2 linked regions of the Caenorhabditis elegans genome follow. The protein of the gene in region 1 interacts with the protein of each later gene in a pairwise test. Each region holds a gene or a part of one and is shown on either strand. Other genes may lie near its edges.

Region 1 (9,334 bases):
GATTCCAGAATGGAAATGAACACATTTTAAGCTCGCCGCTTTTCCCGCCGTTCTATGCGCTCTCAATCGATTACACTTGGGTAGCCGTTTTCACATGTAAGCACGTACCACGGGTTGATAACATTGAATTAAACTACAAAATGTTTCAGTTATTGACGTGTTTCTGTGCAACGTTCCATTTTTCAAAGATGCAAAAATCCAAAAAGATCGAAAAGTGACCTGGGATTTGATAAAGAAGTCACTGAAGCTTCAAGGATGGAATCAGCTCCTGTGGATTTACCCGATGGCACTTGTCCAGTTAATTTGGGTACCTGATACAGAGCTTCCTATCCTGGCACCAACAGTTTTTGAAATGCTTTCACAGCTGGCTATATTTTTCCTGGCCTTTGATTTCACATATTTCTGGTTCCATTATATCAATCACAAGGTAATTGATAACAAACAACGGTTGCATGTGTGAAGTATGATTGGAGTAGTCATAAAACACGGTTTTTAATAACTTGTAAATCGAGTTACATTGAAACTAATTAGACCATGTTTCACAATATAATTCAAAACCTTCTCTGAATGTATATAATCGGGAACTCACCAGCTACAAATAATTTTTTGTTGTGCAAAGCTCGCCAATTTTCCACCAGGTTTACATTCGTTTAGGCAAAAGTTTCCAAAACGTTGCACATTCCGAGTACTAATTCATATTGCGGAACCTGTCATTTTGTCGAAACGTCCTGATAGGAACTTTTTGATTGTTGCAAACGTTTCAGTGTTTATTTTTACGATTCCTATTATTTGGTTATCCATGTATGCAAAGAGGTTTATTAAAATGTATATTTTGACGTCACATAATGCATTTTAGTTTATGCTATGACGTCATAATTTACATCAATGTTGATTTCTTCATTAGCAGCTTTTCTCTCACTTGAAATTAAGATTCGAAATAATTTTTTACCAACGTTAAGCACGTTTCAGTTTGAATTTCATAAAGCTATTACATATTTTTCAGCGATTCAAAAATTATATTATCAGTGGAATGAATCACTGATAGTCATAATTGTCCTATACACAAATCATGGTAATATCACTCAACATTTTGCAGGTAAAATGGCTCTACCGCTGGTGTCACTCTGTTCATCATATGTACTCATCCCCATTCGCAGCATCTGCACAACATCTTCACCCATTTGAGGTTTTTGAAAATTGAGATTTATAACTAAAATAGTAAGTTTTTTCAGCTGTTCTTTGTTGGAACATTCATCACCACTATCCCATGGATCTTCCCAACTCACTGCTTGACCTACTGGATTTGGTTCTTTATCGCCCAGAGCGTCTCTTATGAGGTATTAAAATTTGACCTTTAAAGTTGACAAAGTTGAATTCAGGTTCACATTGGATACGACTTCCCATTTGCTCTTCATCGCATTTTCTGGTTCTACTCGGGTGCTCCGGCTCATGACATGCACCATCTGAGACCACTGACATGTTTCCAACCGTGGTTCAACTATCTCGACAGACTCATGGGTTACCATATTACCTACGCCGATTTGAAAAAGATGACCGAGGCAAAATTCAAAAAGTTCGGGCTCTATTCAGCTGAAGACGAGAAAGGATTAATCAAAATTAACTAAGCCACGTACATGTATTACCCCGTAACGCAATAAACGAACTTTTTTTGCTGTTGAAATGTGCATGAGTGAGCAAGACTTTTTCGGAACTTTGTGTTTGCTCCCAGACAGACCGGAAAATGTGAAAGTAACTGAATCAGAAGAAATGTGGTATTGAAACGTGAGATCTTGCAAAAGGAACTAAGAACACGAGACTTGACCAAAAGTTCAAAAGGTTGCTTGAAATGTAAATAATTTTAAATCTGAAATATCCCCCACCAAAAGGGTTAACCTGTCCAAATTGTGGTAAATCTATTTTTTTTAATTGAATTTTGTTTTCATAGTCAAACAATCGTAATTCTGAAACGTGGCCAAAAATGTCTACAAGTTTTAAAACAAGCAACTGTGACTCAAACATTTGTTCGGAGTATTATTTTTAACCAGGTGAATCGTTTCTATTTGGAACCTCGAATCGTCTTCAACAGAACATGCTTCACCCAATTTTCTCGCTGATGAGATTTGTGCAGAGGCGCATGTCTGTGTGTCATCGTGTAACTTCTATTTGCCGGCACAAAGAAGATGAGCAACAAAAAGACCTCCTCCAAACTTGCCCCCATTCAAATCGCCCATTAGCGTTTAGCCTTTCTCTCTTATAGGACCACCCATTGAAGCTGCAAAGATTCACGCATCCCAAACGCGTCGAAATAGAGGATGATGGGGGGACCAATTGGAAATGAGACATGCGCGAGAAGAGAGAAAGAGCCGAAGAAAGGAGCAGTTCTTCCCGCATATTTTCACTAGTATGTGTGTGCATTTATAGCCTTCCCCCTTCTCCTTCTTCACGGCTCCTCCTCCACGATGTGGGTGATGAGAGCGAAGAGGGGCCAGACCGGGAGCCCCTGCGCTTCTTCGACTAGCATTGTGCATTCAGAATCGATAGCTGTGTGTGTCTTGCCATTTCGTCTACTACATTGGGCTAGTGGTGCTGCTGCTGCTGTCGCTGCCGCGAGGAACCTCACATACGTCTTCTTATTAAAATTTCGGAACGAGCGACGACGGCCAACGGGTCATTCTTTCATTCTTTTATTTTGTTGTCAACTCTACCTTGGTTTTAAATGGAGAATGTCTGTTTTCAGCAAAGATTACGAGGTAAACATATAATTTTTCATATATTTGTTTATTGTCGGCTGAGTACGTAGCAAAATATTCGTAGATTATGTATATTCCGTTTAGAATCTTTGATGAAAATTTAATGAACTGCAAAACAGGTCAACCAAGTTGCTGATTGCCAGAAAGTAGCCTTAGGTTCGGAAATCATCGGTTGTCGGCTGCCGAAAGTTTTATCGTTCGCCAACTTCGGCAACTTTCGATATTAATTTCAATTGTTTTGTAAATACGCATTCAAAGACCCTAAATATTGCGAATATCGTCACTGTAAATAAAACAATTATATTTTTTCCTCGAAAAACACTCTGAAATATGAGTTTAACAGAAATATATGTTTGAACAACGCCAAGGCCTCGGCAGCCGACGGTTGCCGGTTGCTGAAAATTTCAGCGATTGGCAAATTCGGTAACCGCTCATTGACTGATACCCAGATGATGCTGATGCAATTAATTTTCAACCTGTAACCTAAATTTTAGTGAAACAAGGTAGCCAACGAACTTATACCTCTTGATAAGAAAAGTACTTGGCTTCTCGGGCAATAGGTACCACAAAAACTACTAAAAATAACCAAAGTGTCAATCAGCGCCAAACACACAATCTCATTTCCTCCGTGTTGAGTCTGTAATAATTGATTTTAGATCTGGAGACGAGGGTGAGAAAATGGAAATTCTTGAAGTTGGGATTGACTGAGGTTCGGCTACGGCCGAGAGATCGCCGATCAACTTCGGTAGATCAAAAACATAAAGGTTTGTCTTGAAATATTGGTGTCTAGCCTTCAAATGGCATCATTATTCTTAAAATTCCATCTAATTATTCTTTGTGATGAGATCATCGGCTCAATTCCAAAAAACACGTATGTGTTGTCATTCTTAATTCCCTCAAATTTTGTTTTACAGAATGCTCTTCCACATCTTCAAGTCCTCAACACCAACGGCCGAATAACATTGGGTATTTAACAAGCCCCATGGAAAGAAAATGTGTGCCTGGAGAACGACCTTTAGTTATTACATACATACAATTTCAGTTACTCCGCTTTCCATGAAACCATCGCCATCCAGAAGAGATACTGAGAAAGATGCGTTGGAATACGAGTTTCTAGAAGGGTACAAGAAATCGGGAACATTAGAAATTGATGGTAAGACATACATCAAAGCTTTAATTTTTAAAATCTTTTTCCTATCAGGAGAAAAGCAAGTTGTCGACCCAAACGAGATTCACATCATCAGCCTGCTCGGAAGCGGCTCTTGTGGTGTAGTCGAATCTGCGACGGTTCGCTCAAAATTGATGGCTGTGAAGGTGAGCATTACCCCTCACACGGAGGCAGTGATGTATGGTTGAGATACACATCCGGACCACTTTGAATAGAATAAATCTTGCATGGCTCCAGTATGAACTCTTGAAAAAAGATTGACAGAATCGTTGCATACGCAATTCAAAAGAGAAGGGGTCCTTCACGGGTTATCATGCGGGGGCGAAAAATTGTAGTGGTGCTAAAGACCATTAGAAATTCCATTGTTTTCGTTTTTCTTGATTCAATTGTCAATGCAAAGCAAATGCGTTAGAGAGGAGGAGAGACCTCTAAAATTGGTGGAAAACAAATTTCAGTAAAAATTCTGAACCTCTTTCAATGTGAGAACAGTAGTTTGATAAATGCGACTCTAGAGAATACGTTGACACAGAATCATAACGGTTCCCTCAGCTTTGTCTTCTTCAGACTATGTACAAAAATGACAATAAGGAAAATTTGAAACGAATTCTTCGTGACGTCCGAATTATGTCAATGTGCAATTCTCCGTTCATTGTCACCAGTTACGGATATTTCATGTTTGATGTAAGTGTGACATTCTTATTAACATATCCAATTCCTCCATTTCCAGTCGTCTGTAAAAATTTGTATGCAAATCATGTCAGCGTGTTGTGAGAAGCTGCTGCGTCGCATTTATCATTCAAAATTGGATTTTTTCCCCGAGTTTGTGGCCGGTCACATCGTCTACTCGGCGATTAGTGCACTGGATTATCTCAAGGAAAAACATGTAAGAGATTAAAGAGAAACTGCTGTGCACAAACTAAACAACTAATTCCGGATTTTCAGTCGATTATACATCGCGATATAAAACCCTCGAATATCCTTTTTGATGACAGCGGCAATGTAAAGCTGTGTGATTTTGGGATAAGTGGATTTATGACTGATTCGATGGCTCATTCCAAAAGTGCAGGATGTCCGCCATATATGGCTCCTGAAAGATTAACTATCGAGGTATGAAATTGAATGTTGATCTGTGAACAAAAATGTGCCGGTGGCGGTGACGCCCTCCACGCGCCCGATTTTTCCCGCAACTTGCCCCGGTTCCCTGCTACTAGTTTCGGCTTGATCATGCTTGACATGTCAAAAAAAAAATTTTGAACTTTTTTTTTTGAAACATAATCTTGACCCGAAATGTGGGTCACGTCCCGATCGCAACAGTGAGCCGCGGGGCACTCCTGTTAATAGGTCTAAAAGTAAATAATGAAGTTTGAAAAAATTGCAGACGAATTCCAAATACGACGTTCGAAGCGATGTCTGGTCATTGGGAATCACTGTTTACCAACTTGTCACTGGACTCTACCCATTTCCACTAAATGACATGGAATTCACAACTCTCACCATTATTGCAAACCTGAATTTGCCATCACCAAGTCTGAGAGAAGAGGTTTCGGAATTTCCGTTACGTTTTCAATACGCTATGTTTCAGACAAAGCGAAGTTTTTCACCTCTATTCATTGAATTCTTGGACCTATGCTTGCGAAAGGATGTTCGAGAAAGACCTGAATATAGGCAATTAATGGTAAAATAATAGGTTGGAGAAATTTTTAAAACAAAGGTTTTTCTACAGAAGCATGATTTCTACCTTGATTACGACCCTGCCAGTGGAAGTGCTTACAAGTTCAAAGCTGTAAGTGTTTTTTTTTGCAAATTTTTCAGTACAAAAACTGACTGTAATTTCAGATCAATGGAAAATGCAATCAAGTTGCGGATTGGTTCGTCGACGTGATTCGACTTTCAAAAACCGAAGATGAATTGAAGTCGATCCCAAACACGCCTTGTGTCAACTAATTATTGAAGACTTTTAAGCAAATTATCACTTTCGTGTTCTCTCAGAAATTCTCATTCTTTTAAAATTGAAACGAGTCTGATATCATCACTGGTGCTCTTCTCTGCATAATATTTGTTTCTCGGTTGCTTCCAGTTCACTTTTTGAAGAAATTCTAGGTATGATTTAAAAAGAAATACTGGGTTTTTTAAACGAACAAACTAAAAATCTGTCCAAATGGACGAATATCGTAATAAAAGTTCTCAAAAAAATGTAAATTGTTTTAATGGCTGTTCTATTTTGCGAAGCATTGGTAGTTTAACGCATATCATTTTGCAAAATAAGGACCATTTAAAGTTTTCTAAGAAAGCAATAACCTACCGATTCTTGTCCACAAAATCCTTCGATCATCGGGGAAGCTCCTAGAATCTGGTTCAATTTTTGAGGAGGCTGCAAGCTTGTCAACTGGGCTTGCAACTGGGCTCCGGGATATTTCTGAAATTTGAAGTTTAAATTAAAATTTCATTTAGGACAACTTACTGATAATCCGTTTTTTTTTTAATTTTCTGTTCTTGTTTCTGTTCTGTTTCTGCTGCTCCTCACTTTCCGCTTTCCGACGACGTTCGTGGTGCAATTTCTCTAAAATTTTGATATATTTTTGCTTAAATTTTATCGATTTGTAAGTGACTTTCGAGTGTGGTACACTTTTTGCATCGCTAATCTGCCTTCGATACTTTGCTCACCTAATCTGAAAATTGGAAATTTAGAGCTTTTCAAAATAATTGTTATGAGATAACTTACGGAGTTGGCTGGAGGAAGAACTTGGTGATGAAGCCATACTGTGCGAAGTTTCTGAAAATCGAGAGTACGGTAAACTACGGTATAATTGGATTTTAAAAGAAAAAAAAAATCAAAAGTAAGTTTGCCACAAGAGCCGGATATGATAAAGTGGCACCAAGAGAAAGAGAGTGAGAGAGTGTGTAAAAGTAAGAGGGTGCTAGACGAGAAATACATAAACACAATAACACCTTCTATTTTGCCGCCACCGCCAAAAAAAGACGCTAACTGTACGCCTTCCGGTTGTCCGTGGGGCGGATTTGCAACAACATTTCTGAATAGTTTTTCTTGCTAGTTTTTTAAATTTTTTCTTACTTCTATTTTGATCAAATCTTGAAAATTTTCAATCTAGAAAGTTTTCTCACTTATTTTTCTTACAGTAATTATAACTTGCTATCAAGAGCACAATGCCTGCTGCTCCAAACTACAGTATTATGGTAACCAGCACCTACTTATCACAATTTCCAACTTTAAAACTTTCCAGACATTTACCCTTTGAAGGAAGCCACTCGAACTTGAAGGAATCCACTCAAAACTTTGATATCACCATTTTCGACCGCAAAAACTTTTTGCATTGAAGATGCAGTCGTAAGAACAACAGAATCCCAATTTCTGCTGAAGAAAAATGGAGAAAGAAACATCAATATAATGCAAATTACGAACAACGGAATCGCGACGAAAAGGCAGCGTTCGAAGGATTTCTTGTCGAAACAAGTGCGATCAAGGACAATTTGGAGCAATTGGTTCAAGAAGTTATGCCTGAAAATGTGGATCAGTTTGTAAAGAAATCGGTGACAGTTATGGAGACAATCCTGCAAAAAATCTCCAGACATAGAGGTGGATGTGAGATCTTAATTTGAGATCCACGTAAACTTCATGGACAAGTATCAAGAAGCCATGAACTACATATCTTGGCAGCACCAGCACGATTTTGTCATAGCCCAGGAGAAGCACAAAGACCTTCTACCTACCCAGGAAAGAACCTGGTCATCGTGGATTTGCATAGGGGAGAGAATTGCAAGGCAACAGCTGAAAATTGACTGCATCAAAAACTTGGAGAAAATTACAACGTTGATTGGGAAGAGGGACCTGCTTGAAGATTGCATGCCATCGTCAGTGGAAACATAGTCTTAGTCAAATTTCTGATTTTTTATTTTCAATCGCCCGAATCCTCCAATTTCTTGTTTTTCAGATCTGGATCAAATGCTCGAAATCTACACCATTTTCTTCAAGCTGATGTTGCAAAACTGCGGAGCCCGCCGACGCTGAGCTAGTCAACAAAATCGTCGAGCATTTTTCAAACAACTTTCCGCACCCAGAGAATCCTTCCGAACTTCCAACATTTGCGTCTACGTCTTGCTCGAGACTTGAAATCGCTCAACTTGCAGTAAAAGTTGTGAATAAAACGTGGTGAGAACGTGATGATAAATTAAAATCTAGAAAACTTTGAAAAATGCCAATTTTTTTCAGAACTTTTCTGGCTCACCACTCCACTTCCAAAATCAGCACATGCCATAGTTTTATAATTTATATATTTCTAGTCATTGTTTTAACTTGTTCAAATTTTATTTAAAATAAAGCTTCAGATAAATTGAAAATTGAATTTTTAAAAATTGAATTATTGCGGAACTGATTTCACATAAAAACTGAACTACATTTCCTTTTGAAATGTTAACTTCTGATTTTCCATTTTGGCAGAGATGAGTTCAGTACGCGTTTTCTGGAAGAGCTTCAGAGCATCTTAGAGTGCAGCTTATGAAAATACCTTGTAGTCTGGCAAATGAGGTTTGAAGGAATCACCTTTGGCATTCATTTCCATTCCTGCTCTGGAAACGGCTTCTTGTCAGCTCCGGAACTGATACAATCTCTCCGATGTCAGCTCTCCTGGAAGTGAGACAGAACGAGAAAAAATCGTTATTACTGTAGCGATGATATTCAAATTTTTATTTATTATAAACCACCTCAAAATGACGACAATTAGCAATTTTCGAACTATACTCAATCAATGAGCTTGTATCGAGAAACGGTAATCCCTTTTTAGAGAGATTAAAGAAAGAGCACAAGTATTCATCTATCTAGCGGCGAGGTACAAGCAATAATCCATGGGACACTTAAAAAAAAACGGAGGTCATCGCGATGCCCAAAAAAATTCAAACGCATACCCGTGGCACATACAAGATCTCTGCAAAAAAAGAGCCGTTTTTGGTGTTGTTTTTGGAACTCCTACATCGTCTATCAAAAAATTCGTTGTTTATCGATTACTCTTTGTTTGCACCCCATTCATATTGTCAACTGGTGACACCCAGTTTCTTATCAGTAACATTTTCTCCTCAAATGACTAGCAGAAATATGTTCTGTAATAATTTGGAATCACAAAATGTTATGAGAGTTTAATTTTGTTTTCTCCTTGTGTCGGTTGCCTTACAAAATGTTTTTTCAGGAAAAATGCCGACGTTCGGACGTCGAGTTCCGAGACCAAAACTGGATTTGCCAGCGCTCAGAGAAACAATTCCCGAGGTGTTGAAAAACGGTGCTCTTGGTTATATCTGTCTGTCTGGTAGGAATCTGAACGTTCCGGAAGATATGCTTCATGGTGGAGTAAGAATTGGAAGTGGTGAAGGACAATCAGCAGTGTACCGCTTAATATACAATGGAATG
Region 2 (6,660 bases), on another chromosome or scaffold:
TAAAAAACCAAAAAATTATATTAAATTATAATACTTATAATATTTTCAGTGTATAGAAGTAAGAATGTCTATGAAACGATTCGGAAAAGCAGCATATCGAATCGCAAATGAGGTATCTTCAAAATCGTTCTTTTTTATAATCGTTAAATTGAAATTTTTTAGTTAGTTGCAAAAGGTGGACGACTACCAATTTTCCAACGCTTCCTGCCGAGAATATTTCCCGCCACTTATAATTTAGGAGTTCATGTCGTACTCAAAAAGGCTCCATTTCCACGACAAAATGCTCTACGAATTGTAAGTTTATGAAAATTCAACAAAAAAAAATTAAAATTGAATTCCTTTCAGGCTCGCCTTGTAACTCGCCACGGTCGAGTTTTCCGGCCATTTTCCTCAGTAATAATCGAAAGACATCGATTTCAAAATCAAAATGATTGGCGTCGAAAGTTTCAACCGATTCGTAAAGAATTGCCAAGAAATGTGGATTTAGTCGAACGAATCAGGCAGATATTTGGCAATTCTCTACGATACAATGAGGATTTGAAAAGCACTGAATGGCCGAATAGAATTGATTCTTATGAGTTTGGTATGCTTTTTTCAGTGATATTTCTCCATTGTTTGAGTTTTCAGGGGAATTTCTCGGTCAAGGATGCAATGCAGCAGTTTACTCTGCGAGATTAGCCAATTCTGATGCAGAATCCTCAGGGAATACTCACTATGGTGCAGGGTTTAATGAAGTCACAAATATACTTGCAGAAATTCCGCCAGTTAGCAAAGTTGCACAAAAGGTAGTTGATAATCTTAATTCGATGATTAATATTGAAAAATCATTGCAGAAATTCCCGTTGGCAATCAAATTAATGTTTAATTTTGAACATGATCGCGATGGAGATGCTCATCTCTTGAAATCAATGGGAAATGAATTGGCTCCATATCCGAATGCTGCAAAGTTGCTCAATGGACAAATGGGAACATTTAGACCTCTTCCAGCAAAACATCCAAATGTTGTTCGAATTCAGACAGCTTTTATTGATTCGTTAAAAGTTTTGCCAGATGCGATTGAACGGTTAGCTTTGAAATTTATTGATAATGATTGAGAATAAGATTTTCCAGATATCCAGATGCCCTTCACACTGCACGTTGGTATGAGTCAATTGCCTCCGAACCGAAAACAATGTACGTAGTAATGAGACGATACCGACAAACACTTCATGAATATGTATGGACTCGTCATCGAAATTATTGGACAGGACGAGTGATAATTGCTCAACTATTAGAAGCATGTACATATCTTCATAAGCATAAAGTTGCTCAGCGAGACATGAAAAGTGATAATATTCTTCTGGAATATGATTTTGACGACGAGATTCCCCAATTAGTTGTCGCCGATTTTGGATGTGCACTTGCATGTGACAATTGGCAAGTAGACTATGAATCAGATGAAGTTAGTCTTGGAGGAAATGCCAAGACAAAAGCACCAGAAATTGCGACGGCTGTTCCTGGAAAGAATGTGTATGTTTTGAAGTTTAGAGTACTGTATATAATCAAAGTTTTTACAGAAAAGTAAACTTCGAAATGGCAGATACATGGGCAGCTGGAGGCCTTTCTTATGAAGTTCTAACACGATCAAATCCATTCTACAAACTTCTTGATACTGCAACATACCAGGAATCAGAACTACCAGCACTCCCATCTCGTGTCAATTTTGTGGCACGAGATGTCATTTTTGACCTACTCAAGCGAGATCCTAATGAAAGAGTCAAGCCGAATATTGCTGCAAATGCGTTGAATTTGTCATTGTTCAGAATGGGAGAAGATGTGAAGCAGATGATGGAAAAATGTGGAATATCTCAAATGACTACTCTATTGGCTGGAAGTTCTAAAGTTTTGAGTCAAAAAATCAATAGTCGTCTGGACAAAGTGATGAATCTGATTACTGCTGAAACTATCATGGCCAACCTAGCTCCACATTTGATTAGTCGAGCAGAACGACAACTTCGAGCAACATTTCTTTCAAGAATGAATCGAGAAGATATTTGGAGAAGTCTTCAATATTTCTTCCCAGCTGGTGTTCAACTTGACACACCTGCCACATCATCAGACTGTTTGGAGACTATTTCCAGTTTGATGTCGAGTTTTTCAAATGATTCAGAAAATTACGAGAAGCAACAGAAACCGGCTAAAAATGGATACAACAATGTTCCACTTCTTCTCAGAAATGTTATCCGTACAGATGCGGATGGAATCAATGGAATTGTACATAGAGTTCGATCTAAATAGATTTGTTTTAACGATTACTGTAGTTTGAAACCTCTAGATTACATATGTAATAACCTTTTTTTTTTACTTGTTGGTATTTTTCAAATTGTACAATCACTTTTCATGCCAGTCTATTGCGTTCTTTTGTCTAATTACGGTTTATCATTCCCTCATTTATGGAAAATATCATACCTTATTACTTTTTATTGTTCAAATACTGGTGGTTTTTAACCATTTTATACTACTTCATTACATCCTATTATTTCAGATCTCAGATCCTCTAACTGTAACTTTTAGGTGTATGAGCAGTCTTTACGTGCCATTAGTTTTACGGCTCGAAGTGAGAGACCGGACAAAAATCGTGCAATCTTTTATCGACGACTCGAAAGCAGGAAGTGAATCCCCACTGGCAGGTGAACGGACTCGTCAGAGACTAGTCAAAAAAGGAAATACTCCTCCAAAAAAGGAACTGAAAGGCAGAGAAGAAGATCCGCCAATTGGAGTTATGGTATATAGATCAAATTTTATTGAGACTAAAAGCTTAATCTGATTTTCAGTCATCCGAGCCATCACACAACTACCACAAAGGACGACGGACCTATTCTGAAGTGGTCATCGAATCTTTAGATGGAGAAAAACTTGTTGACTCGAGTTCTTCGGTTGCCGGAACATCGGAAAAATCTGGTGGAAGATCTGTTTCAGAAGGACCACGTGAGTTTGAAACATGTGAGATGGAAAATGAAATCTAAAAATTTCAGCTGACCAAGTTGCCTATTATTCTGGAAATCCTCTCACGGAAAAGACCGAAGGAATTATGCATTTTTACAAGTACAATGATGAGAAGTTGACAAAAGTTGCACAGTGCCGAATGTTGTGTATGTATGCTGTACCAGCACAAGTTGAAGTTCGTGAGATTATATCATTCATGTGTATCTCACTTCCGATGATTGTTAGTATTAAAGTTGTTCGAGATCCAGCGCCAAATCAGTATATGTTGATTATCAAGTTCAAGGAACATGTAGGTTCAAGTTATACTAACGATTAATTGGCAAATATTTATTTCAGAATGATGCTGTAACATTCTACGAGGAATTCAACAATTGCCCGTTTAATGATCTCGAATCGTATTGTTGCACGCTTTTCTTTGTGGATAGAATTGAATGTGTAAGTTATTATTATTTTATTTCAATAATTCCAGATATTTCGAAACAATTTATAAATTTCAGACAACGTCGAATGATCTCTTCTCCTCCGATGATACATCTCTTACGGAGCTTCCAACTTGTGCAGTTTGTCTGGAACGAATGGATGATAGTGTTCTTGCAATTCTATGTAATCATTCATTTCATGCTCGTTGCCTGGAACAATGGGCAGACAATACTTGTCCAGTCTGTCGATATGTTCAATCTCCAGAAGTTGTCGCAGAGCAACGTTGTAATGATTGTGGAATGAGCAACGATCTATGGATTTGTCTAATTTGTGGAAATATAGGTTGTGGAAGATACGCAGAACAACATGCACAACGACATTGGGAGCTCACTTCACATACTTATAGTTTGAAAGTTGGAGGAGAACGAGTCTGGGATTATGCTGGAGACAATTACGTGCATAGATTGATTGAAAATGGAGCTGATGGGAAACTTGTCGAGTATCAGAGAGAATCGAATGCGGTATGTTCATACTGGACCAAAAAAAAATTGTTGATTTAAAAACAATAATTTTTTGTTAAAAAACTGGTGGAAACAAAAAAAAAGAATGTTTTGAGGCTTCAAAGTGCCGAAAATCAACCTTTTCGTATAACTAATTTGAATTTCGCGCACTAATTAGTTTTGAAAATTCTCGGCCGTGTACTCCTCTCGGGCAATGAATCAATTAATTTTTTTGGATGCAATTTTTCGGGTTTTCTCATTGAATTCTATTGGTTTTTGTTTGAAAACAAATATATATATATATATATATGCGTCTGTAAATGCGTTTCAAATTAATTATCACACAAATACTTTTGTTCTGCCTAGGAATAAGTGCTAAAATCCTGTAATATATTCATTTTCCCCTTTATCGTTGAATAATAAGTATGATCATGTTCTAAAAGTGTTTGAAATCCAAAGTGTTTGATTTTTTACTTTATTTTTGCTATCATAAAGCAAAATTTTTTTTTTTTCGTGAAAAAATACCTTTGAAAAACAGAAAAAAAAGCAAAAAAAAAGTCCAGCACTGTTTTGTGGCCTTTTCATTCTATACAGAAAATTTATAAATTCATTTAAAATTTTGTTTTCAAGTATTCTGACTAAATAGACCAGAATGTTTAGTCTTCACTCAAATTCCCTAAAAATGTTGAAAATTGCAGAGCTTTGATGACAAAAACCAAAAGGGTGGAGACAAGCTTGAGGGAATCAAACTCGAATACACTCTACTCCTGACCAGTCAACTTGAGGATCAACGGAAATATTTTGAAGGTCTACGTCACGATATGGAGCAAACGATGTCAAAAATGGAGAAAACTGCTTATGCTCAAGTAGAGAATCTCGAGCATCAACTGACGGAACGATCAACTGAATTGAAATCATTAAAAGGAGATTTAGATGATACTGTGACGGCGAGAAAAGTGGCAGAGAAACGAGCAACGCAGACAAATGAAAAAGTGAATAAGCTTGCAAATGAGTTGAAAGATGAACGTGAAATAAATCAAATGTTGAGAAAAGATCAGCAAGTGTGGAAAGGTCAAGTGGAAAAGCTTATTGAAAGTCAGAAAACTGCTCGAACCGAGTATGAAAAGGTATTCGTCTAAATAGATTCCCTTGATCTCTTGAAAGCTTTTCTTTTCAGAAAATCGAAGATCTTCAGTCACAAGTCAATGATCTTTTGATGCATTTTGAAACTCAAAATAAGCTGAAAGAGCAGTTGGATGCTGGAAAAATAACTCAAGAGGTTGGTTAACCAATGCTCGCCACAATAAAAATGTTTAATTTACAGGAAATAACTGAAAGTCAAGTTGAACTCGATTCGTCGTCCTCCTCGTCGAGAAAATTGAACAGAAAGAAGAAAAAGTAGTTGGCATCTCAGGAGATCCATGTCCTATTTAATTTTTGCATATTGAACATTTCTTTAATAGTCTTTTCATATATGGTTAGTCTCACTTGAATATTTATTCGCTTTCTTTCGCGTATCTCATCGAATTTTGTGCGGTATATATGTATGCAGCCGGTAGTTTATTTAATGCATTCGCTTATGAATAAAATGATATCGTTCGAGTGTCTTTTGGTTTCATATTATGTACCATGTTTTCAATCGTTATTAAACGACGAGTCAAAAACTATTTTTCGAATTCCCTCCTCTTTCCTTGCTGACACATTTTCGGTGCTGACGCAACTCTTGTGTTCACTAAGAACGCACACTTCGTTTTAAACGTCTCCGCTGGCCATCATTCTTGTTTCCTTCGATTTTTCTCGATACTTATCTTTTACAAATTATTTTCTCTTTTTTTCAAGATTTCCATCAACTTTTAATATCACTGCTCTCATAATTTCTCGAAACTCTTCGTATTTCTCTAATTCAAAAGTTTTCTGCCGCATTTTTACACTCACTAACCAAGATTATCGATTTTTGGGCAATTTATGACAATTTGGAATCATCTTTTGTGTCGTCCGATAATGAGTTTCGTTCATCAAAAATGCAGAAATATCGGTATAAACAATGTATTAATCTAACATTAAATACAAATTTAACCTCTAGATACGGTTTACCTTGGTAGTAACATTCACCGACTAAATGTGCCTGATAATCTTGTCAAATGGAGCCAAGAATGGTCAGGATACAATCCTCCGGCTCACACCGATCCAAAAGTTGATGGAGCTGTTTGGGCAGACCCAGAAATCGATGAGAAAACGTTCCAACCGTCTTGGAATGCGATCGATGGGAAAATCAATAGAGTGTCATATGTTTGGTGCGTTTATGAGTGTATATACTCAATCAATCAAGAAACCTTCCAGTCAGTACTCATTTGATCCTGTCACCCTTCGCCCACTAAATCCTATTGGACGTACGGGACTTTCTGGTCGTGGTTTGCTTGGTCGTTGGGGTCCAAACCACGCAGCAGATCCGATCGTTTCTAGAACAAACGACAATGGTGATTTGGAGTTTGTTGCAGTTCAACGTCATGACAATGGCGAGTGGGCAATTCCTGGAGGAATGGTGGATGCTGGAGAGCATGTTTCACAAACTCTACGGCGCGAATTCGCAGAAGAAGCAATGCATGGAATTGTCGATTCTGAAAATCTTGATGAATTGTGGAATAATGGTAAAGAGTTATACAGGTGCATTCACAGCTCTTTTATCCCACTCAATGTTTCATTTACAGAGGTTACGTTGATGACCCACGTAACACTGATAACGCATGGATGGAGA

The links.
Region 2: the proteins of jkk-1 (region 1) and brap-2 interact in a two-hybrid assay, tested with the Caenorhabditis elegans proteins (one large-scale study listed by BioGRID).

What each region holds. Positions count from the first base shown.
Region 1 is NC_003284.9:5,365,949-5,375,282, forward strand, and holds jkk-1 (Dual specificity mitogen-activated protein kinase kinase jkk-1), read left to right. Parts: upstream 1-2,519; 5' UTR 2,520-2,716; coding exon 2,717-2,750; intron 2,751-3,367; coding exon of another isoform or gene 3,368-3,387; intron 3,388-3,406; coding exon 3,407-3,514; intron 3,515-3,664; coding exon 3,665-3,745; intron 3,746-3,792; coding exon 3,793-3,903; intron 3,904-3,951; coding exon 3,952-4,064; intron 4,065-4,482; coding exon 4,483-4,599; intron 4,600-4,645; coding exon 4,646-4,801; intron 4,802-4,860; coding exon 4,861-5,025; intron 5,026-5,296; coding exon 5,297-5,458; intron 5,459-5,500; coding exon 5,501-5,593; intron 5,594-5,641; coding exon 5,642-5,701; intron 5,702-5,754; coding exon 5,755-5,862; 3' UTR 5,863-6,220; coding exon of another isoform or gene 6,221-6,334; 3' UTR 6,335-6,379; coding exon of another isoform or gene 6,380-6,478; 3' UTR 6,479-6,640; coding exon of another isoform or gene 6,641-6,677; 3' UTR 6,678-7,083; coding exon of another isoform or gene 7,084-7,113; intron 7,114-7,160; coding exon of another isoform or gene 7,161-7,788; 3' UTR 7,789-7,868; coding exon of another isoform or gene 7,869-8,086; intron 8,087-8,146; and 1 more. Other genes in the region: F35C8.5 (Cholesterol 25-hydroxylase-like protein), read left to right, coding at 9-96, 150-427, 1,097-1,186, 1,233-1,337, 1,380-1,625; F35C8.8 (uncharacterized protein), read right to left, coding at 3,368-3,387, 6,221-6,334, 6,380-6,478, 6,641-6,677; sek-4 (mitogen-activated protein kinase kinase), read left to right, coding at 9,122-9,334. UniProt on the Caenorhabditis elegans protein: Dual specificity protein kinase which acts as an essential component of the JNK signal transduction pathway. May phosphorylate jnk-1.
Region 2 is NC_003280.10:5,389,084-5,395,743, reverse strand, and holds brap-2 (BRCA1-associated protein homolog 2), read left to right. Parts: upstream 1-2,553; 5' UTR 2,554-2,557; coding exon 2,558-2,764; intron 2,765-2,813; coding exon 2,814-2,967; intron 2,968-3,014; coding exon 3,015-3,274; intron 3,275-3,321; coding exon 3,322-3,420; intron 3,421-3,482; coding exon 3,483-3,926; intron 3,927-4,603; coding exon 4,604-5,032; intron 5,033-5,082; coding exon 5,083-5,184; intron 5,185-5,229; coding exon 5,230-5,307; 3' UTR 5,308-5,503; downstream 5,504-6,660. Other genes in the region: pink-1 (Serine/threonine-protein kinase pink-1, mitochondrial), read left to right, coding at 65-112, 163-294, 346-583, 628-785, 834-1,063, 1,111-1,509, 1,557-2,277; ndx-6 (Putative nudix hydrolase 6), read left to right, coding at 5,907-5,940, 5,989-6,199, 6,246-6,569, 6,614-6,660.